Regions from separate parts of the Mus musculus genome. Here regions 1, 2 and 3 are each reported to be linked to region 4. Evidence: microRNA targets listed by miRTarBase, many of them from high-throughput screens and not tested one by one. Region 4 holds a microRNA gene; each other region holds the end of a gene's coding sequence.

Region 1 (5,867 bases), not on the chromosome of region 4:
ACACCTGAAGATGTGATACCAAGCTGGTGCTGTTGAGCCGAGCCAGGCGGCTGGCCATTAGCAGGTGGTCTCACAAGCTAGTAGGATGGGCGCTGAATGCAGGAGACAAAGGCCAAATCTTGAGGTAGCCATGGTGGAGTTCAGGAAAAGCTTCAGGGAGCCTTCACCTCCCTAAACATCTGGTTATGAATTGCAGTGAGCAGTACCCACCCTCTTCCACAGACCGCTGACCACCAGTACATGGAGGGCTTCAAGTATGAACTGGAAGCCTTTAAGGAGCGAGTGCGGGGCCGCGCCAAGCTGCGAATAGAGAAGGCCATGAAGGAATATGAAGAGGAGGAGCGCAAGAAGAGGCTAGGCCCTGGTGGCCTGGACCCCGTGGAGGTCTACGAATCCCTGCCTGAGGTGTGACTCCCCAGGGCCCAGGAGGGAGGAGGGTGATGTATACCCATTGCTGCTCCCTGCCCCCGCCCCTCTGCTCCCACCCATCCCAAGCCCAGGCCCTCACCCTGGCCCCTCTGTACTCAGGAGCTGCAGAAGTGCTTTGATGTGAAGGATGTACAGATGCTGCAAGACGCCATCAGCAAAATGGATCCCACTGTGAGTCCCTAGTCCCTGTGGCAGATGGCAGATGGCCAGGGGGTGCAACCCTGTCATCCAAGAGCAGGGTTGTGAGTCCAAGGCCAGGCTTAGTTAAGATGAGCCAGAGCAATTCAGTGAGACCCTGTCTGAGAACGACACCCTTCTGCACACACGCACGCAGTACAATACCAGTATACTTTAAAAAAATCTTTTAATTCCTTGCCCCACCACCACCACCTTTTTTCTCTGAGATAGGATCTCACTGTGTAGACCAGGCTAGCTTCAGACTCACACAGATAGACCTGCCTCTGTTCCCAGGCTAGCTCCAGACTCACAGATAGAGCTGCTCTGTCCCCTGCGTGCTCAGGTTACCTCGCTGGTTACTTAAGTGCTGGATTGTAATCTCTGGTCCTCATGATTTGGAGGAAAGTACTCTTAACTGCTGAGCATAGCTGTCACCACTCCCTTTTGTCTGTGTGTTTGTTTTTTGAGACAGGGTCTCATGTAGCCCAAGCTGACCTCAAATGTGCTACATAACTGATGACCTTTGCTCCTGACCCTCCTGCTGCCACTTCCTAATTGGTGGGATCACAAGTGTGTACCACCATATCTGCTTGTCTGTGGTGCTGGAATGGTAGAGTCTCAGAACACTGGGCAATTGCTGCACCCGCTGAGTCACATGCTAGCTTCTGCAGTTCTATATTACCAGTCCTGGGTGGAGTGGGTGCTGAGCAGCCTTGAAGGAGGTGCAGGGGACACTGGGCATCATGCTGCTGGCATGGCCTCATCTGCTGTCCTCCCTCTCTCCACAGGATGCCAAGTATCACATGCAGCGTTGCATCGATTCTGGCCTCTGGGTCCCCAACTCCAAGTCTGGTGAGGCCAAGGAGGGGGAGGAGGCGGGCCCCGGGGACCCATTGCTGGAAGCCGTCCCCAAAGCGGGCAACGAGAAAGACGTCAGTGCGTGACCCTTCTCCGGAAAAGGAAACTTAGCCACCATGTCCCTAGCTCCCAACTTCTTCACTTGTGCTGCTCCTCACATCCTGGCCCATGGCCTGCCCCGTGTCCCCTCTCCTCCCACCTGTCCCCAGCGCTCATCAGACTCTCTGCTTCGGGTTGAGGGGCTCTGCTGTCTGCAGCCTCCTACCCCCATCAGCGTTATGCCAAAGTCCTGGGGGCCTGGGGAGGGGCAGCAGTTGCCAGGTTGGTCCACCGGGTTGGGGATACAAATGTCCCCATCTAGGCAAGGTCTGTCCCTATGGGTCTATGGTCACTGTTTTTCTTCTGTCTAGCTTCCTGTCCTGCAACTGGCAACAATGTCCAATAAACAGTTCCAGGTGCTGGAGGCCGCTGGTTCAGTGCTGTTTGAGGCAGAGGGTGAACCTAGGTGGGGAGAACTGGAGTGCTAACAGCCATCCATGCCTTTGCCCTGTCCTCACCCTTCAGAAGTCCTAGGCCTTCTGTGTCTCTCCAACTGTCTGTCTCAGCCTCCCCTAACTCCTCCCTCTGTCTCCCCTCTCCCCCTAGCACTCCATGGAGACAAGAGGACACGAGTTTGAGGGTAACCTGGGCATGAGATATATGTGGCCTTTCACACTAGACTTTGCCTCTGCTAGGGGAACATCTTATTCTAAATTTTTATTTGTGTGTGTGTACGCTCGCACGCCCGAATGTCTTTTTGAGATAGGTTTTGTATGTATCTTTGGCTGTTTGGGAACACACTATATAGACCAGGCTGGCCTCAAACTCAGATATCCACGTGCCACTCACTACCTCTTGAGTGCTGGCATCAAAAGCATGAGCCACTCCTGGCTTAAAATTTAATTTATGTGTATGAGTGTTCTGTACGTGTACATGTAGTGGCTGCAGAGGCCAGAATCTCTTAGAACTGTAGTTCCCAGTGGCCCTCAGTCCACCATGTGGCTACTTGGAGTGAACACAGTGTCCTCTGCAACATTGAGTCTTTTCTCCAGTCCTGGGGAGCAACTTTGAGGATTTCTCCTGTTAGAAAGAATGTAGCCTGGGGCTCTGGCTAGAGTTTAGTGGCAGAGCTTGGCTTAGCGTGGTTTCAGTTCCAGCAATGTTTGTTTTTTGTTTTTTGTTTGTTTTTTTTTTTTAAAGCACATGTATCATTCTGAAGAATGAATGAAACAGAAGGGTCATGTGTTCAAGGCCGGGCTAGGCTGACCAGTGAGTCACTGTCTCGGTGAAAATGAATTAAAGGACTTAGTTTACAGAGTGTTTGCCTAGCATTCAGGAAGCTCTGGCTTCTAGCCCTACCCTGCATAAACTGGGTGTGGTGCCACATCTGCAAATCCCAGGCCCAAAGTTGGATTTAATTCTGGAGTTAAGGGTGGTGGACTGAGAGGATAGCTCTCGATACAGAGGCCTGAGAAGACCTCAGTTTAGATACCAGCACCAAAATGCTGGACATGGCCGTGTGCACTTCCTGTAACCTCGGTGTCTTTGGAGATAAGACCGTGTCCCTGGGGCTTGGTGGCTGCAGGTCTTGTTTCAGATTGAGAGACTGTGAGTAGGAATAACATGAAGCATGATAGAGCAGGCCACTGGGCATCCTCTGGGTCCTACGGTACACAGGCACAGTACACATGCCTAATGCCGATGGCACACACAAAGCACATGGTTGTCCAGTCTGGGCTACGCGTGAGAAAGTAAACTTGCATGACCTGGTGAGATGGCTCAGCCGTGAAAGGCACTAGCCACCAAGCTTGGCAGTTTTAATTCCTACAGCATGCTACCTGCTGTCAGGAGAGAGCCAACTCAGCATACTACAGAAGAGTGTAACCTAAAACATAAAGTTAATAAGCAAATGAACAAACATGCAAAAATGGTGCAGTGAGCTGCATCAGTTGAAATCAGCCAAAGGCAAGATTCTGACCCTTCATCCATCCCCCTTTTAGGGCATTGTCCTCTGGGAACTGCTTCTCACTCAGGACCCAGCTCAGCCTTTGGAAGACAGCAAGCAGCTGATCTCCAAAATCTGAGGCAAGGCTAGTCTACATGGTGACTTGCAGGCCAGCCAGGGCTGCACAGTGAGATCCTATCTCAGGGAACAACAGAATGAAAAAACATTTTAACCAGCCCTAGCTCGGTGCAGTGCACCTCCCAGACATGTTCCTGGGAGCTCTCTGAACCTCTCACCTTTCACACTAGCCGCAGGACTGCCTCACCGGTGTGGTATGACCTGTAGACTACCAGGCACTATGAGCCTTTCCTTCCCTTCTCCCCTGAGACTCCCACAGCACTGGGAAAGGGGACTGGAGCACGCACAGTAGGCCCACAGAAAAGATTTGCAGAATGGCCAGAATGCTCTTGTGTCCAAGTGTCTATCCACCAGAGGGCAGGAGTGAGCCACAAATCTTTACAAGCCCAGTATTCTTTAGTTGAAAGGTAGGTCTGTAACTCAGTTCCAGGTGATCCAAACACATGGGGTGTGTGTGTGTGTGTGTGTGTGTGTGTGTAACTCAGTTCCAGGTGATCCAAACACATGGGGTGTGTGTGTGTGTGTGTGTGTGTGTGTGTGTGTACTTTAAGGTCATGAGCCATGATGTGGTTGCTGGGAATTGAGCTCTTTTGGGATAGCAATCAGTGCTCTTGACCACAGTAATTCCTCCAGCTCGTGATTTTTGAGATTAAGTCTCACTGTAGCACAGGCTACTCTGGAATTTGTGACAGTCAACCTACCTCAGTCTGCCTAGTGCTGTGATGAACATAGGTTGTGAGTTACTTTGACAGTCTGGTTTGGTTATATTTTTAACTCATTGAGTTGTCTCATAGCTGATTACGGAGTACATGTCTATAATCCCAGCACTTGGGAGGCTGAGGCACAAGTATGGACCGAGTTCAGCCTAGGCTATCTTGTCTCAGTGTGCTTTGTTTTGTTTTTTCATAACAAAATAGTTCCACAAATAGGTCTAAAATTTTTATTGATATACTTATTGTGTAGACATTGAAAAGCAGCTGGAGTTTCTGTGTCTACACTCTGTGGGAACTGGAGCTAGAACTAAGTATTGATGTCAGTAATGGTGGCAAGTGTCATTATCCGCTGAGCCATCTCAGCAGCTCATTGTAGAGGGATGCCCATTAGCTGCTTGGGCTGTCAGGAAGTCTCTGGTGGCTTCCTGTCCCCACCCCCCTAGGCTCCTAGACACATTGAACCGGGTCCTCGATTGCAGGGAAATGCAAGCCCTTTGCTTTCATTTTTACCAGCTCAGTTGATGACCCTACATACGGAGAAGTAAAACAGCTACAAAGCTACGTGGGGGTGGGGGTGTCGCAGAAACAGAGTGGCATCTGTGGGCTGTCATCTTTTGCCACCCTATTTCTGTAGTTTTTCCTTTCTCTGCCATGGTTGACACAGTTTCTAGAGAATACTGCTACACACATGTACAGCAGGACATGGAACCTTCTTTGAAAGTCTCCCAGCAAGTCACCTTGCAGTCCTCAGGAGAGAGGGGCCTGACTGTTCCCTGACCTCCCATTCAGAAGACAACAGACTTTGTTTTCAATTCTTTATCTTGGCTTTTCCCAGGTCTGGTGGGAACTTTAGGGAAGCCCTTCCCCCAAAGACCTGCCTTGCTTAGGGGAATCCCCTCATTTCTGAAACCTGTTCCAGCTGTCCTGGGTTTGTCCCTCTTCGTATGGAAAGTCCCCATTGGGGAAACCCCTTGGGTATTCCTGCTGAGTAATGGACAGGTTTAGGGTGCAGAAGTTCTACAAGACCTCTGGGTCAGAAGAACAAACACAGGCCTTCCCAGTAGCCTCAGGTAGCTGGTTTCTCTCTCCACTGTTCAATGTGGGATGTCTGTCCTGCTGTGAATGAACTGGCAGACTTGGGCTGGCACTCATATCTGTACTTCCAACATCTGGAAAGCTGAGACAGCAGAAGGGCTTTGAGTCTGAGGTCAGCCCAGGCTAAAGTGAACTCCACAGACCCTGCCCATCTTTCAAAAGAATATGAAAACAAAACCAAACAGAAACAGGGGGGAGGGGGAGGGGGAGGGGGAGAAGCCCAGTCAGCCCAGAAGAGCTCAGTCTGCAAAGAACTGTAAAGGAAGTGAGGTTTGAGCCTCGGAACCTACACAAAAGCAGAAGGGTGCTGCATGCTCATTAGCCCGGTAGCCATTGGAGCCTGCGGCCATCTTGCCTATCCAAATGGGATGTTACAGGCCAATGAGACCTTGTCTCGGACAAAACCAAACCAAGGTGGATGGCAGTTAAGGAATGACAGTTAAGGTTTTTCCCCTGGCCTCCACAACTGTGTA
Region 2 (5,867 bases), not on the chromosome of region 4:
GCTTACACCCAGTTCAGCACACTAGGACAGGCCTGCAATCAGCCCAAGCACCCAGGCTTTAGGGCTATGAGATTCCCTTCGTGCTGTGAAGGGAATTCGTGCTCGATTCTATCAGCTGGCCTAACACCAACACCATCACATAATGGCTCATCTCTTGCCATCTCAATACTGGTGTGCCAAGAAATTCCTTCCAGATTTCTAAGGAAGTTCATTACTTTTGTTTGTTTGTCTTTCCAGACAGGATTTCTCTGTGTAGCCCTGGCTGTCCTGGAACTCACTCTGTAGACCAGGCTGACCTTGAACTCAGAAATCTGCCTGCCTCTGCCTCCCAAGTGCTGGGATTCAAGGCATGCGCCACCATTGCCCAGCTAGGAAGTTCATTTCTAACAAAATGGAAAGAAGACAAAAGGTAGAGTGGCTGGCTGAGCACTGCCAGGCACCTCAGTCTGTAAAGACATTATTCCAAGTTACTCCCACCATATAAAACAATTTTTAGGCTGGGTAGAACCCTAGAAAATAATTTTACAAGAAGCTTTTGACTCTTTTATGAGGGAGGACTGCAGCCTTTAAGTGGACCCCAAAACAGCACCACCTCTCTGGCACAGATTAATGAGATATTCCTGGGAATAAAACTTATTATAGAAGCCACCCTGTAAGTTTACTGGGGAGAATTCAAATGGTAGTGGCATACAGGCATATGAGAGATTTATGAGGGGTTTGGAAAGACTGCTTAGCAGTTAAAAGTACTTGCACTTGTAGAGACCCCAGGTTTGATTGCCAGCACCTACATGGCCTTTCACAACCACCAGTGAAAGGAGATTCCATTTTGAGAGGAATCCAAAAACCCTCTTCTGGTGTCTGTGGACACTAGGGACTACATAGTATACAGACACAATGCAGGCAAAACACTCATACATACCACCAAATCTATGAGAGAAATCAAGGCAAGAACTTATAAGCTACGCTAGATGGAAGAAAGGGTGTTTTCCCTCACCTGACCCACACCCAACACTGTGGCATCCATACCGATCTGATAGCTGCGACTCCTCAACTTGGCTCAGTACACCTGCTGCTGAAGCAGCACACGGCCCAGCCATTCACCTGATTAAACCTAGGCTTGACCTGCTGGTTCCTGCTCCAGTCACAAAGGAACAGATTTCTCCTAGTGGAATGTTTTGACTTACAAATTGGACACACACTGCTTAAATACCTTTATTGGTTTTTTTTTTTCAAAAATTATTTAGACATTGATAGCTCTGCAAAATAATTCTCCCATTGCAAATCTTCAAACCCTTTCCACAGGTCTTCCATAAAGAAACAAAATATTTGTACTTTGCGCCCATTCAAATCTAATTTTTAAAAAACATTTAAGATTCAAAATCAAGTATTTTCTTTCCCAGAACTTGTTAGTAATTTTAAACCACAATGTAACATACGTAATGGCATTTCTTTTTAAAAATTAGCTTATCAGTGACTATTTTATGAGGAAAAAAAATCCATTCAAGGCCTTAAAGGGAATATGAATTCCCTGCTTCTGAAAGCAAAAGACATTGAGAAACCCCTTTGTTCCACTGGAATCTGACTCCAACACTGCTAACAGGGCCAGTCCACCCTGACTGTCTACTTAACATGAGGCTTTGTCTACTTACTTTTGGACTGCAGCTGACATGCTAGGCCATCTTAAAGGAGATAGGTGGGTAGACTGGTAAAGCAGGGAACGAGAGGGCCACAGCTGGCCACAGCAGTGGAGCCTTCTGAGTGGAGGGTAAGAGAAGAGCAGCCAGACCTCTAGTCCCTGCCTGGGGGTTGGCTCGTTGGAGTAGAGAACAGTAGGACATTTGCAGTCTGCACCTATTTTTCAATGTTAGATACAAGTGCCAGGCAAAGATATTGCACACAGGACCAGAGGCATGCAAGCCACTGAGCAGCTGGTTAAAGAGCTACCAATGGAGACAAGTCCCAGAGGTCCTCCAGGGACAGAAAAGGAAAAGAAGTCACTGTCCACCAGCTAGGAGTTACTAAGAAGTGGAACATGTTTATTCCTGCCCAGTGTTCAGGGGCAGACTTCTAAGCAGCAAGTCTTCAGGTAGGTCTGAAGTCTGTCTGCTAAAGGCATCCTTCCCTCATCTTTCTAAGTAGAGCTGGAACACTTCCCTAGCTAAGAAAAAAAAAAAAAAAAAAAGCAGGGTGTGGTGGCTCACACCTTTAGTCCTAGTACTCGCTCTGAGTAGTCAGGTGGATCTCAGTGAGTTCAAGGTCAGCCTGATCTACAAAGTGAGCTCCAGGCCAGCTAGAGTTACAAAGTGAGACCCTGAAGACAAAGAGATCAAAGGAACAAAAGGGGGGTGTAGGGGGAACCCCTATGCTCCGACCTGGCCTGCCCAGTTTAGAGGAGAGGCTGTTCACTGACGTGCTACTAGAGCTACACACGAGCCCTAGCTTCAGGGTGACTCCATCCACTGCTGAATGATACCTGCCCAGCACACAATGGTTCAATAGCATGGTGGAAAGCCAGAGGAGCAGGTGCTGCAGGGAAAAGCCAGCAGTCAGTCTTTCTGCCTCCTTCACTCTCCAGTGCTGCCCCTCAGCTTAAGTGAAGCGATGGTGGCCTGTGGTGTAAGCCAGGTGCTTCTGACCAGAGCCGGCCATCTCATATTCAGTTGAGTTTTGATGTCAGATGAAGTTTAGGTTCACCTTAGACTGACCCTTTCTCCTGGGCTCAGGCTTCTGAGCAGCTGGGCCTCGAGGTGCACTGCCGTACCCAGGCTGCTTCTCAAGGGTAAGGAACCACTGATTCAGCCCTAGCGATGGATGTGGATTCTTTTCTTCTACCTAAGTCTTGGGATGATGTATTGTTATGGTTTCTGAGCCCCAGCTTTACTGACTGGGTAAGTTTTGGGGCTATGGATATTGCCAAGTACCTGCTGGTTTCTTTCCCCACTTCTGCTCTCTTAAGGTTCCCAGATATTCAGTATTAGTAACACACAGCACAATACAACAGCAGCCAACCTGCTACCCCTTGGTGTTCCCTTTTTCCAGCACTGGAAATGGAAGCCAGGTCCTTCCTCATATGTGACAAGCTAGTGCTTGGTCAGCTGCACTCCCAGCCCTGATGCTGTATTTATTTTAAAGCTTTTCCCCTTGTGTTTGGACCTGTAAACCACCAGAATTCCCCAAAGTCCTGACAATATTGTGGACTACAACTGATGCCAATCTATTAAGCTTTTTAAACATTTAGAAAAACCAAACCAAACCAAACCAAACCACTCCCCTCTCTCACACTTTGGCACATGAGCCTCGAGTTATTTGAGTGCATTTCTTCCTGCCCACGCCATGACAACATTTCAGTCATCCTTTCCGGAGAATGGGGGCCCCCTCTGCCTTTGGAAAAGGTTGTCATGACACACTGATGTTTTGAGTAGCAAAAGGAGGAGGCGCAAATGCTCAGCCGGCCCGGAAACAGTTCCTGTGTTTAGCACTGTGATTTAAGCAATGCTGCAAAACTTCTGTACCAGGATGACCTGTTTCAAAACTGCTGGTTGATTAAATATACATATAGACATAGATATAAAAGTCACTACGTCAACATTTGCTGTTTTCAATGTGAAAACGATAAATGTAATTCGGAATAATTGTGCATTTGCCATAGGGTCCTTGTTAAAGGTACCATAAAAATAATAATTTTGTAATAAAAAACTCTTTTATTTAGTATTGCCCTCAAGTTCAGAAGTTTGGAGCAAATGTACTGAGAAAGCAGTTTGGGATCTACTCCTACCAGGGATCTGGAAGCCTTAAATTTAGTGATCCCCAACAGCAGGCCCAGAAAACCCGACAGCCATGTGCTAGTCTTGCATTGTTAACACACAGGGCCCTACAAGACATCAACTGGAATCAAAGGTCAATGAGGCCCACCAGGGACCCCATCTCATCTCATTGGTGGTATATGCTGGGCCCAGGCAACTCACATAGAGCTCTGGGGCACAAGATGCTGGGCTCTCCCTTTCCTTGGGCTACCAAACAAGCAACTGAGGAAGGAGTAGGGCCTGGGTGGAGACCACTGAGCACCAAGGCTAAGGTGACCCAGGAGCTGACCTTCCACTTGGCTAGAGGCAGGCCGAGGAAAGATGGCATTTCAGTGATGCAGAAGTTAGCTGTGCAGGAAGGAAAGTGCATTTAAGGTTGTTCAGAAACAGATGGTGACCACAATGCCACTGAGAGGAAGGAGGGTGGGAGGTGAACAGCTCCCTCTGCCTGCCTGCAGGTTGGCCATGCTCCTTGGATCCTGTAGGTTAACATTCATGCTTTCTGATGAAGTCTGCTCGTGAACAAACAGGAACACACCTCTCCTGGTTCTGGCAGGTACATAATTTCCTCGCAAAGCTCTTTGTTGCCAAGTTCAGTTTTATTTGGCCACTGTTCTGAACCTCTGTCACCGGAACTCATAGATGGGTGCACTGTGTTCAGGAACATGGGTCAGGTTGAGGGACTGATACCTGTAATAGAGGAGAGACAGAATAGAAGAGTTTTCTTAGGAATCCTGAACAAAGGCAACTGGAGAACTCTACCTAGAGTCCCCGCCAATTATATTCAGATTGAGGTGCTAAACCATTTCCAGTTACATAAAGGGACGGTCCTACTATGTAGCTGTAGCTGGCCTGGAATTCCCCATGTAGACCAGGCTGGCCTCAGACTCACTGTGATCCATCTACTTCTGACACCTCAGTGCTAGGATTAAACATATGTGGCATCAAACCTCAATTTTGCTAAATTTTTGTTTTCTTTTTATTTTGTGCATGCATGAGATAGATAGATAGATAGAGAGAGAGAGAGAGAGAGAGAGAGAGAGAGAGAGAGAAAGTAAAAAGAGGGCATAAGACCCTGTGGAACTGGGATTATAAATGATGAGCCACCATGTGATGCTGGGAATCAAGACCTAAGTCCTGAGGAAGGGCAGACATGCTTTTAACTGCTGAGCCATCTCTCTAGACCCTCCCTTCCCCATCTTGTTGTATTTTTGAAATGGGGTATCACTGTGCATCCCAGGCTGGTCCTGAACTCCTGGAACCAAGCAATCCACCTGTCTCAGCCTCCCAAGTAGCTGGAGATACAGGTGTATAGCACTGTGTCTGGCTTTGTTAACTTGTTTTACCTAACTAGTTCCCTCTGTTCCTTTTTTGTTGTTCCACCTGTACCATGCCTAAGAATTGCTTTTACAAAATAATTGTAATACAGTTCACAAAAATAGGGCCCTAAGGGGCTGGGGCTGGGCATGGTGACACAAGCTTTTTTTTTTTTTTTTTTTTGAAACAGTTTCTCTGTGTAGCCCTGACTGTCCTAGAGATACAAGCCTTTTTTATCCCACCACATGAAGGCAGAAGCAGGTAGATCTCTCTGAGTCTGAGGCCAGCTTAGTCTACATAGAGTTCTTCTTCAGCCAAGGGTGCATAGTGAGAGCCTGTCTGAAATGACAACAAAACAAAACAAAAGTCAAGCCTGGAGTGCAGGTCTGTAATCCGAGCTACCCAGGAGCTGGAGGCAGAAGAATACAAGTTCCCGATCTCTTCAGTTTATGGTCACCACAGTAAACTATGTCTACAAACAAACAAATGTAACTCAGTCCCTAGGTTCACAAAACAAACAAAACTAAAGAACAAAGAATTTGAATCGATGTAGGCTAGGGTCATTCACAAGTAAGAATAAAAACTAAAACAACAAAAACGGAAAGAAATTAGTGTCTCATTTTATTTTTTAAAAATGTATTTAACTTTTATTTATGTGTGTGAGTCTGTGTGAGTTTATGTGTACTACATATGTGGGGGTACTTGGAATGAAAGAGCATTTGATTCTCTGGAACTGGAGTTGCAGGC
Region 3 (5,867 bases), not on the chromosome of region 4:
AGGTGACCAACTTCTACAGGTTGGCCTCTTGCCTCCATTTTTGCATGGGATGTGCCTGGACCCCAGCCCCTGTGGCTGGTTAAATGTAATTAAAAAGAAAATAAGAAACTGGGCACGGTGGTGCACATCTTTAGTCCCAGCACTCCAGAGGCAGAGGCCAGCCTGGTCTATATAGTTAGTTCTAAGCCAGCCAGAGTTGCACAGAAAAACCCTGTCTCTAAAAACAAACAAACAAACAAAAAAGGGCTAGAGAGCTGGCTCAGTGGCTAAGTGTTAGGAGTGCTTGTTGCTCAGGTTTAAGTCATAGTGAAAGAACCTAGTGGAGAAACCCCCCACTCAATTCCGAGTTGGTGTGCACCCAAGGAATCACGAGAGACTGTCTTGATGCAAACACATGAGGTAGTTTAATGACGGAGCTCCGGGCCGACATGTATCTCACACAGGAGATTGCGGTTGTCGACCACTAGGCTTGAAAGCTAGGGGTTTTTATAGAAAAGGGTCTGGGGCTGGGGGAGGAATTGGCGCGGTTTCACACGATTGGTTCATTTAAACATCAGCAGAGTGTATGTGCAGATGGAGGTAACAGCAGAGCATCTGGTTAACATTTAACCCATGTCAGAAGGGTGGGAGATAGGGAGGCGCCAGGCCAGTCTGGACATGTCTTTGCATTCTCTTTATCTTTATGGCCAAGCAGCCTCAGGAATGTCTTAATGATGGGCCTGCCCAGGCATGTCCTGGCCTGTTCTGCTATGTTCTCAGTCCCAGGCTTCAAAGCTCACAAACAACTCTTTGGGCTATTACATGAATCACAGGACTCAAGTTTTATTTTCTTTCAATAGCACCACATGGCAATCCACAACTCTCTGTGACTCCAGTTCCAGGATAGTCAATGTCCTCTTCTGACCTCCAAGGGCATCAGGAGTGCACACATAAATACACACAGGCAAGATACTCATACTTATAACATTTTATAATCATAACAAGGCCCAGGTACATGTGAGGTCCACATGCATGCACGTGGGCACTGCAGGCTGTGTAAGTATGGGTATTTACACACGCTGTTTACAAAGCACTGTTCACTCCGGGAGGGTTGGATGGTTGCTCTCTCTCCTCCATCTCCACCCCAGCCCATCAGGTAGAGAAGAATCCATAAAGACAGACCTGTCTTTCAGTGCGCCTTGGGGTGTGGTTCCAGAGAAACTTGGTTTTGTTAAAAGCACCAGTTAAAGAGCTCACATAATTTCCTTCCTAGATGATGTTTCTAACACGATTTTCCTCTCATATGATTATTGATCTGATAGAAGGAAGATATTTGGCAGATGTTTTGTCTCAGATGGCCTGGCAATGCTGGGCTAACAAGGAGGAAGTAGCCTGGGAGCATCCTGGCTCTGGGAGCACCATCAGCCTCTGGAAGCTATGGGAGTGTACATGGACCCACCCTCACACACAGTCTTCCCCGTCCCTTTCAAGCCTGCTGTCTGAGGACCACCTGTGGGAGACTAAAGAGTCTGAGCAGGCCCTGTAGTGGGCTTAGGGGGTCCCCAGTGACTCAGGGAAAAGCTTCTCCTGGCCATGCCCCTTAACAGTGGTGACAGGGACTGCACCACTGTGCACAACTTTACTCTGAGAAGATGCACAGTACGCCCCAGAGATTTTAAAGATGGCTCAAGTGTGTGAGCGGCCAATCCACAGAGTCCATGAAACTCTCATCAAGATCACAGGCCCCAGCTGGAGAGATGGCTCAGCGGTTAAGAGCACTGACTGCTCTTCTGAAGGTCGAGTTCAAATCCCAGAAACCACGCAGTGGCTCACAACCATCTGTAATGAGATCTGACGCCCTCTTCTGGTTTATCTGAAGACAGCTACAGTGTACTTACATATAATTAATAAATCTTTGGGCTGGAGCGAGCAGGGCCGGAACGAGCAGAAATCCTAAGTTCAATTCCCAGCAATCACACGATGGCTCACAACCATCTACAGTGTACTCATATACATAAAATAAGTAAATCTTTTTTTTATTAGGTATTTAGCTCATTTACATTTCCAATGCTATACCAAAAGTCCCCCATACCCAAGTAAATCTTTTTTAAAAATTAAAAAACATCACAGGCCCTTCAGGGAAGTGAGGGACGAAATGAAATCTGGAATAAACACAAAGTGAGGAAGCCCCAAGTGAGGATGCTGTGCCTCCTGGAACAGGGCAGATAGTGCCCCCTCAGGCTTGGAGTCATCATAACAATGTGGCTGGACTCAGAGACAGCTGCTGACCAACCCACAGATTTAGGGCAGCTGAGCAACAGGCTGGGAATGTGGCAGAGCCTTGCCAAGCCTGACAAGATCCTGGATTCCATGCCCAGAGCTGCAAGGTCAAACCAAACCAAAAACAAAAACAAAAAAAAAAAACAAAAAAACCCCCCAAAAAACCAAAAAAACCAAAAACCCCACCAAATTAAACCAGAAATACCAAGCAGAGAAAAAGGGAAATAGAAAAATGAAGGGCACAGAAGCAGTCATTCCTTAAGGATGCTCAAAGGCGAGGAACCAGTTAGATGGCCGAGAAGAAGGGAACAGGCTGGCATAGGTGTATATGCGGGTACACCCAGCAGAGGGGTCAGGAAACCCTATCTAGGTTCAAGGTCCCTGGCTACCTGCTGGGAAGACTCTCGTGATCCAGATTTGCACAGACATTTGCATGTTGCTTTGAACTAGACTTCAGGTCACCAGAATTCCATGTTCCAGGCCTTGAGCAGAACTACCATGCCTCTAACAGCCAATAGGGGAGCCCCAGTGGCAGGACTACGGTGGCCTGCAGGATGTCAGTGGGATGGCAAGGCTGACAACCAGAGTTCCATCTCTGGGGACAAAATAATAAACGAGAGAGACATCTCCCCCCAGCTGACCACCCCACCCCCCGCAGTGGGAAATGTGTACCCACACATGACACACACCAAATAAAATCCTTTTTTTTTTTGGTTTTTCGAGACAGGGTTTCTCTGTGTAGCCCTGGCTGTCCTGGAACTCACTTTGTAGACCAGGCTGGCCTCGAACTCAGAAATCCGCCTGCCTCTGCCTCCCAAGTGCTGGGACTAAAGGCGTGTGCCACCACTGCCCTGCTCCAAATAAAATAAAGGTCATCTAAAACAATTACAAACAGCAACACAGATGGGGGACACTCCTGACTCTCTGGCCCCAGGAGACAAGGTCTGTGGGCTGTCCCGTGGTGTCTGCAGCCAACAGCTTAAGAAAGGCGAGGGCACAAGGTGTCCTTTTGGGCTTGCTGGTCTGCAGGCGCCTCCTCCTAGGAGAACAGGCTTCAGTGTTCTGGCACGTTCCTCCCACTTCAGGGAGACAAGGCAATCTGCCCAGACTCTACAGCTAGAAACCCAAAGAAGCACAAGAGCGTCCATGTTTCTTCTCTTAGAACGCCTGATTCTGCTTACAACAGAGTCCGCATAGATTTCTAATCAGAGTAAGGGCTGACAGGCACTTCCTTGGTACTTGGTCCACTCACAGAGTGAAGCTGTAGTGTGGGCTGAGGCCCTCCAGGGCAACAGGACCAGCAGAGATCCACTGTGGAGGTAAAAAGGCCAGCTTAGGAAGTTTGGGAAGGTCATGAAACACTTGCCCCTCCAGAAGGAAGAGGCTAATTAACATTTCTCAGACCTTAGGGCAGAACTGCCCTGTGGGTGGGGACACATCCTGCAGGACACCTTCAGACAAGGGACGTCCTTGTCACTTCATTCCCTAAAGACCAATCAGTTTAAAGGGTGCACTGCTCCGCCAATCACGTTGTGCCTAGTTGCTGATGCTCTCTTCTGCCCCTGGAAACCATATAAAAACTCCCTGAATGGGTGCTGGGGGTCGCCGCCTCTCCTTCGGGTCTGGGAAGACCCCAGTGCACTGGAACAAAAATTCCTCTTGCTTTTTGCATCTATTCCGGCTCCACGTGGTCCACTCAGGGGCTCCCTGGTAAGCAGAGGCTCCCTGGAGTCTTGCAGAGGGACGGGACTCTGTCCAACAAGTTCTCTGTCTCAAAGCTCTGTGGCATCAGTAGAGGCCCCTGCTCAGGGGTTGGAGCCTAGCTCCCGTGTAGCGGCTCAGCTCCTCCAGCACCAGCTTCTCCTGGTTGTACATCTGGAACACAGCAGAGCACAAGCTCTGGAGGGACTCTGGGGACCCTTGTCCCGAGTCCGAGTCCTCCCAGGGTTCACCTCCTTCTGAAGCCCCCCTAGCCGCTCCCCCAGGCTCTGCACAAGTCTATCAGCAGCACCTGAACAGAGACTCAGAGAGCTGTAGGTAGATGCAAGATCAAAGGACAGGACAGCAGGGAGTGGGCTCCCAAAGGAAGGGGGAGAAGCTGGGGTACACATGGGGCCCAGGGAAGTGTGGGGCAGGGAGGGAGTGGGCATAGACAGGGCTGGGTGGTAGCAGAAGCAGACTGCGATCTACTTTTAATTTGAAAAAAAAAGTTCATTCATGGGTGCTGGAGAGATGGCTCAGCAGTGGAGAGCACTCACTGCTCTCACAGATCGCCTGGGTTCGGTTCCCAGCACCCGTATCAGGAAGCTCACAACCAGCTGTAGTTCCAGTTTCAGGGGATCTACTCCTTCCTCTGCCTCTGCAGATAACCAGCACACACATTACCTACAAACGTAACCCAAGCCTATTGGACAACGTAGTGGGCTTTAAGTGTGGTACCCATTGGCCGTTAGAAGAAAAAAACCATGACTTAGCATTATTTGTTGCCAACTGATGGGTAAGGGTTTTTTTTATTATTTTTTATTTTTTGTATGTTTTTCTGAACATTAAGTGTCCCTTGACCCCCATCGATAATAGCTAGCATTCAGGGAATTTAACTTTCACCTGCCTGTCCAGGGTGCCTTTCAGGAGTGAAGTATCATGAGGAGCCAGAGCCTTCAATACAAGACCTCACCTTTCCAGGCAGGATGGATGGAGGCTGTAGTTCGGCCTCTTGCCATGGGGTTTCGAGGTGGGGGAGGGGAATGCTGGGCAGCAGCCTAAGGGTTAAGGGTGTATCTGGGGTAGCCCCTTGCACAGGTACCCCTCCTACCTTTTGCCACTCGGCTTTGGAGCTGTGGGTGAAGCCCAGCAGGTGACAGAGTCCATGGGTGGCTGTGACCTGTTGGAGTAATTGAGAAGTCAGCTCAGGGGATGATCTACCAGACGGCCGCCCCTTCGGGCTCACAGAGGACCCTTGTAAGACTGAGTTGTCCTACGCCAGGACCCTGGGGCAGGATACACAGTTGCTGCCCTGGGTTGGAGTTAATACTCAGTTCTCTCCTGTCTAGGCAAGTGCTACCAGTGAGCTACATCCCAACCTCTATCGCCTCCTGTCTAAAACAGAACAATTCATTCACTCAGTTCACTTAATTAGTGTGGAGCAACACTGTTTGGGGTTGAGACCAGGTAAAAAGAGTTGATTGTCCCTGGCAGTATTGGGAATCTGACTAGATAGAATTAAGCAAGGGTGAATCACGGTTGTAGTATCAGTGGTCTAGAAGGTTGCAGTGAAGTATTGATTGAATCCAAGAGTTCAAGACCTGGGTGGTATAGTCTACATCTTTTCATTTATTTACTTATTATTTTTAAATTGTGTATATGTGCACATGAGTACAGACATCCTTGCGGCCTGAGAGGACATCTGATACCTTGGAGCTGGGGGCAGGCGGTTGTAAAATACCTGACCCAGATGCTGGGAAGAGAACTCGTGTTCACCAGAACAGTGGCTCCTGATACCCACGGAGCCATCCCTCTAGGCTAGGGCGTAAAACAAGGTCAGGGCACCTGTGCAGAGTAGGCATGGTGGTCAGGCAAAGACAGGACAGGACTCGAGTAGGTGGAGGGAG
Region 4 (5,867 bases):
ATGAAGGTAAAATTGTTTGGCCTATTATATTGTATTATCAATAATTGTAACAAACATGTTGTTCTCTTAGTGCTGACTATTGTGTAGATGAAAAGAATATAATTTGAGAGGATCTTTGGTAAAATATATGGTAAAGGAAAATGAATTTTTTATTTTTGCATGACTTACGATTGAATCAGCTCATGGTAAGAGTATTTTTCTTTATTTCTCATGTTACAAAATCTGGAGAGGATGATAGAAAATGATAATTTAGAAAATTTTCAAGCAGCTACTTATCTGTATTTTAACTAGACTGTGGCCCATCTTTTAAACACCATATGTCCCAAACTTCTTTGTGAACAATTCATATTACCTTTCATAGTTTTTGTGATCTCTGAGTGATAGTGTCAGTACACTTGCAGTTTCCCTTGAATTGGTGTCTCTGGTTAAATATGCACATTTGATGTCTCCAGGATACATTCTTATTTACCATGCCCAATTTTGAAACTCATGAGAATTAAAGAAAATATGATCATGAAGATTATGATCTTGTTACAGGGAAAAAGTGAATGAGAGAGAACTTAAACCATAGATTCAAACCATCATTAAGATTAACATAGACTAGGAAAAAGAAGGAAAGATGTAAGGCAAAGAACACTGTAGTTGACATTTTGAAAACTTTGGCTTGGAAAAGGACTTCTATATTCCACATGAATTGTATTCTATTGAACAATTAATTGTAGGTTATTTATTACTACATTTTAAGATCATCTCTGTGTACAGTAATGCTCAAAAATAAAATGTTTGTGGTGAGAAATGAATGGTAATGGAAGAATAACTACAAGTAACCACTACATGTGTTCTCAAATCTCACAAATGCCTTTCCGAGGACTTATAAATCAGACATCTTCTGAGTTATTACAACAGTATGTTTTTAATATAAAAACAGTATGATATCACAGAAAAAAATTAAATACATGGAAGTATAGCATTTTCACTTTTTGCCATATAATCATTCAAATAAGAAGAATGCAAGTTAAATTTGTTAAGGAATACAAGTGTTTTAGAACATTGGGATGATTACTGTCATTGTCTTTCGAATAAATATCAGGAGGAAGTAGGTATCATTCTTTTTTTCTTTTTTTTTTTCTTCCTAGATATTTTCTTTATTTACATGAGAGATTAATTAGTTACTTGCATTGCATTTGTGCCACTATTTCACCAGTACAGCATGTAGGCAAATCACCATGTAGAGCACATGGTTTGTAGTTGTGTTGATGGTTACATTTATCCTCTGGTATCATTCAGAGTAACTTTCAGTACCATGAATGCTGATTAGTAGAGGTGCTGATTCTACAGGTACCACTCTGACTTCCTTTTTCAGCAGTATCGCCTTACCAGGAGTATTTGCAAATCATAAAAAATTCGCAAAAACCTAAGTTGTTTGCTGGAGGAAACCATTTGGTTAATGATCCAACTAGATATAAACAGTTCATCACTGCATGTTTCACTTGATGGTGAAAGTTGTAATGTGGAGAGCATGGTTTCCCTATTATTTAGTGACTCTGTTTTGATTCCTCATATGTGTATATATATTAAAAGAAACTTCTACAGTAGTAGGATTCTGTATGACCCTTTACTTGGCCATTAATGGCTATGGTTAGAGGTGAGATAAAACTAACAAGACTGTTTATGAATGTGTGAACATCTCCTTAAAGGCTTTGTATGCAGTGCCCTATTTAGAATGGCACTGATGTGATAAAATAAAAAATTGATCAGGGCCTTTCTAAGTAGAGTAAGGCTTACCACCTTCTACGTTTAATGACTTGTAGATGGATATTCAGATTAGCTGTAGGTACATGAAAAGTGCCTTCTGTAATCATAGATGAGCTTGGACATATCCACATTCTTTTTTTCCTTCTATTCATTTATTTATTTATTTATTTATTTATAATTTACTTATTCTTTCCTCGTGTATTATGTCCAGATTCTAGTTTCTTTTTCCCTACACACCTTGTAGCCCCTCCCCTGTATACTTTCCCTGTCCACCATATCTACTTCTGCTTTTCCCTTCAGAATTGATCAGGCCTTCTTATTTGCTGTACAGTAGATAATAGTCATCTAGAAATACATTCATATCCTTTAGGTTTCTTTCTCATTTTTTTCTTTTTTAAATTTTTATTATATATTTTCTTTATTAACATATCAAATGCTATCCCAAAAGTAACCTATATGCTCCCAGCTCCCTGATCCCCTATACACCCACTTCGACTTCATGGCACTGGTGTTCCCCTGTACTGGGGCATATAAAGTTTGCAAGACCTAGAGGTCTCTCTTCCCAATGATGGCCAATTAGGCCATAAGCTGCTGCATATGAGCTCTGGGGATACTGGATAGTTCATATTGTTGTTCCACCTATAGGGTATGGTCCACTATGTTCATAGCCACCTTATTTATAATAGCCAGAAACTGCAAAGAACCCTGATGTTTCTCAACAGATGAATGTATACACAAAATTTGGTACATTTACACAATGGAGTACTACTCAGCTATTAAAAACAATGAAATTATGAAATTCTTGGATGTATGGATGTATCTGGAGGATATTATCTTTAGTGAGGTACACAATCACAAAAGAAGTCATTAAATATGCACTCACTGATAACGGGATATTAGCCCAGAAACATAGATTACCCAATATATAATATGCAAAGACAAGGAAGTCAAGAAAAGAGAAGACCAACAGGTTGATACCTCTTTTAGTTTTCTTATGTAACAAAATACAAGGTTTTAAGATACTACATGATTTCTTGAATTTCACCACTCTCTGTTCTGTTTTTTTTTTATTAGATATTTTCTTTATTTACATTTCAAATGTTTTCCCATTTACCAATATCCCCCCCATCCCATCTAACCTCCCCCTGCTTGTGTGAGGGTGTTACCTCACCCACCCACTTACTCCCAATTTTTCTCCCTGGCATTCCCCTACATTTGGGGCATCAAGCCTTCACAGGACTAAGGGCCTCTTCTCACATTGATTCCCAAAAAGGCTGTCCTCTACTATATATGCTGGTGGAGCCATGGGTCCCTCCATGTGTACTCTTGGAAGGTGGATTAGTCCATAGCATGTAGGGGTTCTGGTTGTTTGATACTGTTGTTCTTCCTATAGGTTGCAAACCCGTTCATCTCCTTCAGTATTTGCTCTAACTCCTCCATTGGGGACCCTGTGAACAGTCCCAAGTCTTTTCTAGGAGTATGACAAAGTCTCTAGGATATGATGGGACATGTTCGGGCAGTACAAAACAGTTAACTAATGTTGATGATGCATAGGTGACTTAGATATTTTCAGGACTTCTTTGTCTGAAATAAATCTCACTCATACAATATTTGTGGTGATATAATTTGGTTTAAACTTCAAACATGTGAGAGATAAACGTTTTTGATAGCAGGATGCATTGTAACTGTCTGGACATCAATGTAACTTAGGGTGTATTCACCATAGAATTGTTTACTGTAAAATGTACAGGTTAGAAAACAAAGGTAAATAATAAAAGCAAATAAGCCATATATACTAAATGTAGTAAAGTTGTCAAAAAAGAAAATAGTAGTCAACATATTGCATTGATACAGAGATGAGTATTCATTTAAAGAAAAAACATGAGTAAATGTACTTTCAGGGAGAATTTTGATGGTGAGAGAATTTCCTGAGTAGAACAGGATGAAAGCTATTTCTTTATGTATGTTATATTATGTTTATTTATGTTATAATTACAGTTGAAAGTATGGGGAAGGGTAAAGATACGTGAAATCAGCACTATATACCAGGCTATAGTCTTGATTTGTTTCAGTCCTATAAACACATGAAGAACAAATCTTTGTGTAAAAACAAGAATCATCATGCCCTGAAATTGTGCTCTGGGTGTAAATGGCAGTATATATGCAGTTACTTTCTTTTACCCAGGAGCATTAGAACACTAATTTTATGTACAATAGGGGGAATAGGTACCAAATTCATTGATGACTATTTCATAATTTAGTGATAAAATGGCTAGGGAATTTGGGAAAAGGCATAAGTTTAAAATAGTATTTTGGTTTTTTTTCTAGGGTTTATGAGTAAAGGTCAGTTAATAAATTCTACACTCTATGGAGTACAGTGATAAAATTACTAAGAGTGATGGATCTAGCTGAGGCAATACCTACTTTAAATTGTCCTGTATTTATTCAAATTCTCTCATTCTCTGCATCCTGCCCAGTTCTGGGTCTGTGTTTTTCCATCCACTGTAAGAGGAAACTTTAATTATGGCTGATCAAAACACTGGTATGCGTATAGGAGAACATCCTTAGGAGTCATTTAATTGTACATTTAGAAGAAAAATAGAACATGCGTTTCTTTCCTAGGCCCATGACTTAGATTCTTGACCCCAGGATATGGGTTCCATCTTGTACAGCAGGCCTTAAACCCATTGAGAGATTAATTAGTTACTTGCATTGCATTTGTGCCACTATTTCACCAGTACAGCATGTAGGCAAATCACCATGTAGAGCACATGGTTTGTAGTTGTGTTGATGGTTACATTTATCCTCTGGTATCATTCAGAGTAACTTTCAGTACCATGAATGCTGATTAGTAGAGGTGCTGATTCTACAGGTACCACTCTGACTTCCTTGTTCAATAATATCACCTTATGAAGAGTTTTTGCAATTTACAAAATATTTACAATAGCCTAAGTTGTTTGCTGGAGGAAACCATTTGGTTAATGATCCAACTAGATATAAACAGTTCATCATTGCATGTTTCACTTGATGGTGAAAGTTGTAATGTGGAGAGCATGGTTTCCCTATTATTTAGTGACTTTGTTTTGATTCCTCATATGTGTATATATATTAAAAGAAACTTCTATAGTAGTAGGATTCTGTATGACCCTTTACTTGGCCCTTAACGGCTATGATTAGAGGTTTGATGAAGCTAACAAGACTGTTTATGAATGTTTGAACATCTCCTTAAAGGCTTTGTATGCAATGCCCTATTTAGAATGGTGCTGATCTGATGAAATAAAAAATTGATCAGGGCCTTTCTAAGTAGAGTAAGGCTTACCAACTATACATTTAATATGACTTGTAGATGAATGTTCAGAATATCTGTAGGTACATGTAATGTGCCTTCTGTAATTATAGGTGAGCTTCCACATGGCCACATTCTTTTTTTTTTTACTTCTATTTATTTATTTATTTATTTATTTATTTATTTATTTATTTATTCTTTCCTCATGTATTACATCCAGACGTTATCTTACTTCTTTCTACACACCTCATAGCCCCTGCCCTACACTTCCCCTGTCCACCAGATCTAATTCTCTCCTCCATTTCTCTTCACAAGAGATCAAGCCTTCATATTTGCTCTACAGTAGATAATATTTGTCTAGAAATACATCCATTTATTTTAGGTTTCATTCTTTTTTTTAATTTTATGAGATATTTTCCTCATTTACATTTCAAATGCTATTCCAAAAGTTCCCTATACTCTCCTTGTACCCTGATCTTCTATCTACCAACTCTCACATCTTAGCCTTGGCGTTCCCCTGTACTGGGGCATATAAAGTTTGCAAGACCTAGAGGTCTCTCTTCCCAATGATGCCCAACTAGGCCATCTTCTGCTACATATGAGCTCTGGGGATACTGCTTAGTTCATATTGTTGTTCTACCTATAGGGTATGGTCCACTATGTTCATAGCCGCCTTATTACAATAGCCAGAAGGTGGAAAGAACCCAGATGTCTCCCAACAGAGGAATGGATACCGAAAATGTGATACATTTATACACTGGAGTACTACTCAGCTAATAAAAACAATGAGATTATGAAATTCATGGGCAAATGGATGTATCTGGAG

What was found. Region 4 holds the annotated microRNA mmu-miR-465a-5p (UAUUUAGAAUGGCACUGAUGUGA, at 1,716-1,738, shown strand). A microRNA usually pairs through its seed, bases 2 to 8, with sites in the 3' UTR of a target mRNA and lowers its output. Matches are read on the target gene's strand: a 7mer-m8 pairs with bases 2 to 8, a 7mer-A1 pairs with bases 2 to 7 and ends in A, and an 8mer does both.
Region 1: the mRNA of Cdc37 is a reported target of mmu-miR-465a-5p. The part of its 3' UTR that is shown has no 7-base or 8-base seed match.
Region 2: the mRNA of Gid4 is a reported target of mmu-miR-465a-5p. Seed matches in the 3' UTR shown: 7mer-A1 at 3,703-3,709, 7mer-m8 at 3,233-3,239 and 8mer at 1,238-1,245.
Region 3: the mRNA of Ybey is a reported target of mmu-miR-465a-5p. Seed matches in the 3' UTR shown: 7mer-A1 at 2,024-2,030.

The regions. Positions count from the first base shown.
Region 1 is chr9:21,135,491-21,141,357 of GRCm38, reverse strand. It overlaps Cdc37 (cell division cycle 37), which reads left to right. Exons shown (of 8, transcript NM_001378796.1): 6 at 223-405; 7 at 529-600; 8 at 1,395-1,927. The coding sequence ends at 1,550. Among named protein-coding and RNA genes, the nearest start is that of Tyk2, 7.1 kb to the right of the region's middle.
Region 2 is chr11:60,440,605-60,446,471 of GRCm38, reverse strand. It overlaps Gid4 (GID complex subunit 4, VID24 homolog), which reads right to left. Exons shown (of 6, transcript NM_025757.4): 6 at 1,195-4,493. The coding sequence ends at 4,430. It also overlaps the pseudogene Gm12268. Among named protein-coding and RNA genes, the nearest start is that of Drg2, 11 kb to the left of the region's middle.
Region 3 is chr10:76,459,186-76,465,052 of GRCm38, forward strand. It overlaps Ybey (ybeY metallopeptidase), which reads right to left. Exons shown (of 5, transcript NM_172550.4): 4 at 5,072-5,140; 5 at 382-4,134. The coding sequence ends at 4,048. 2610028H24Rik (RIKEN cDNA 2610028H24 gene) reads left to right here. Exons shown (of 8, transcript NM_029816.2): 8 at 1,302-2,033. Among named protein-coding and RNA genes, the nearest start is that of Mcm3ap, 6.8 kb to the right of the region's middle.
Region 4 is chrX:66,834,970-66,840,836 of GRCm38, reverse strand. Mir465 (microRNA 465) reads left to right here and starts at 1,712; the gene lies at 1,712-1,785. It overlaps Mir465b-2 (microRNA 465b-2), which reads left to right and starts at 4,995; the gene lies at 4,995-5,073.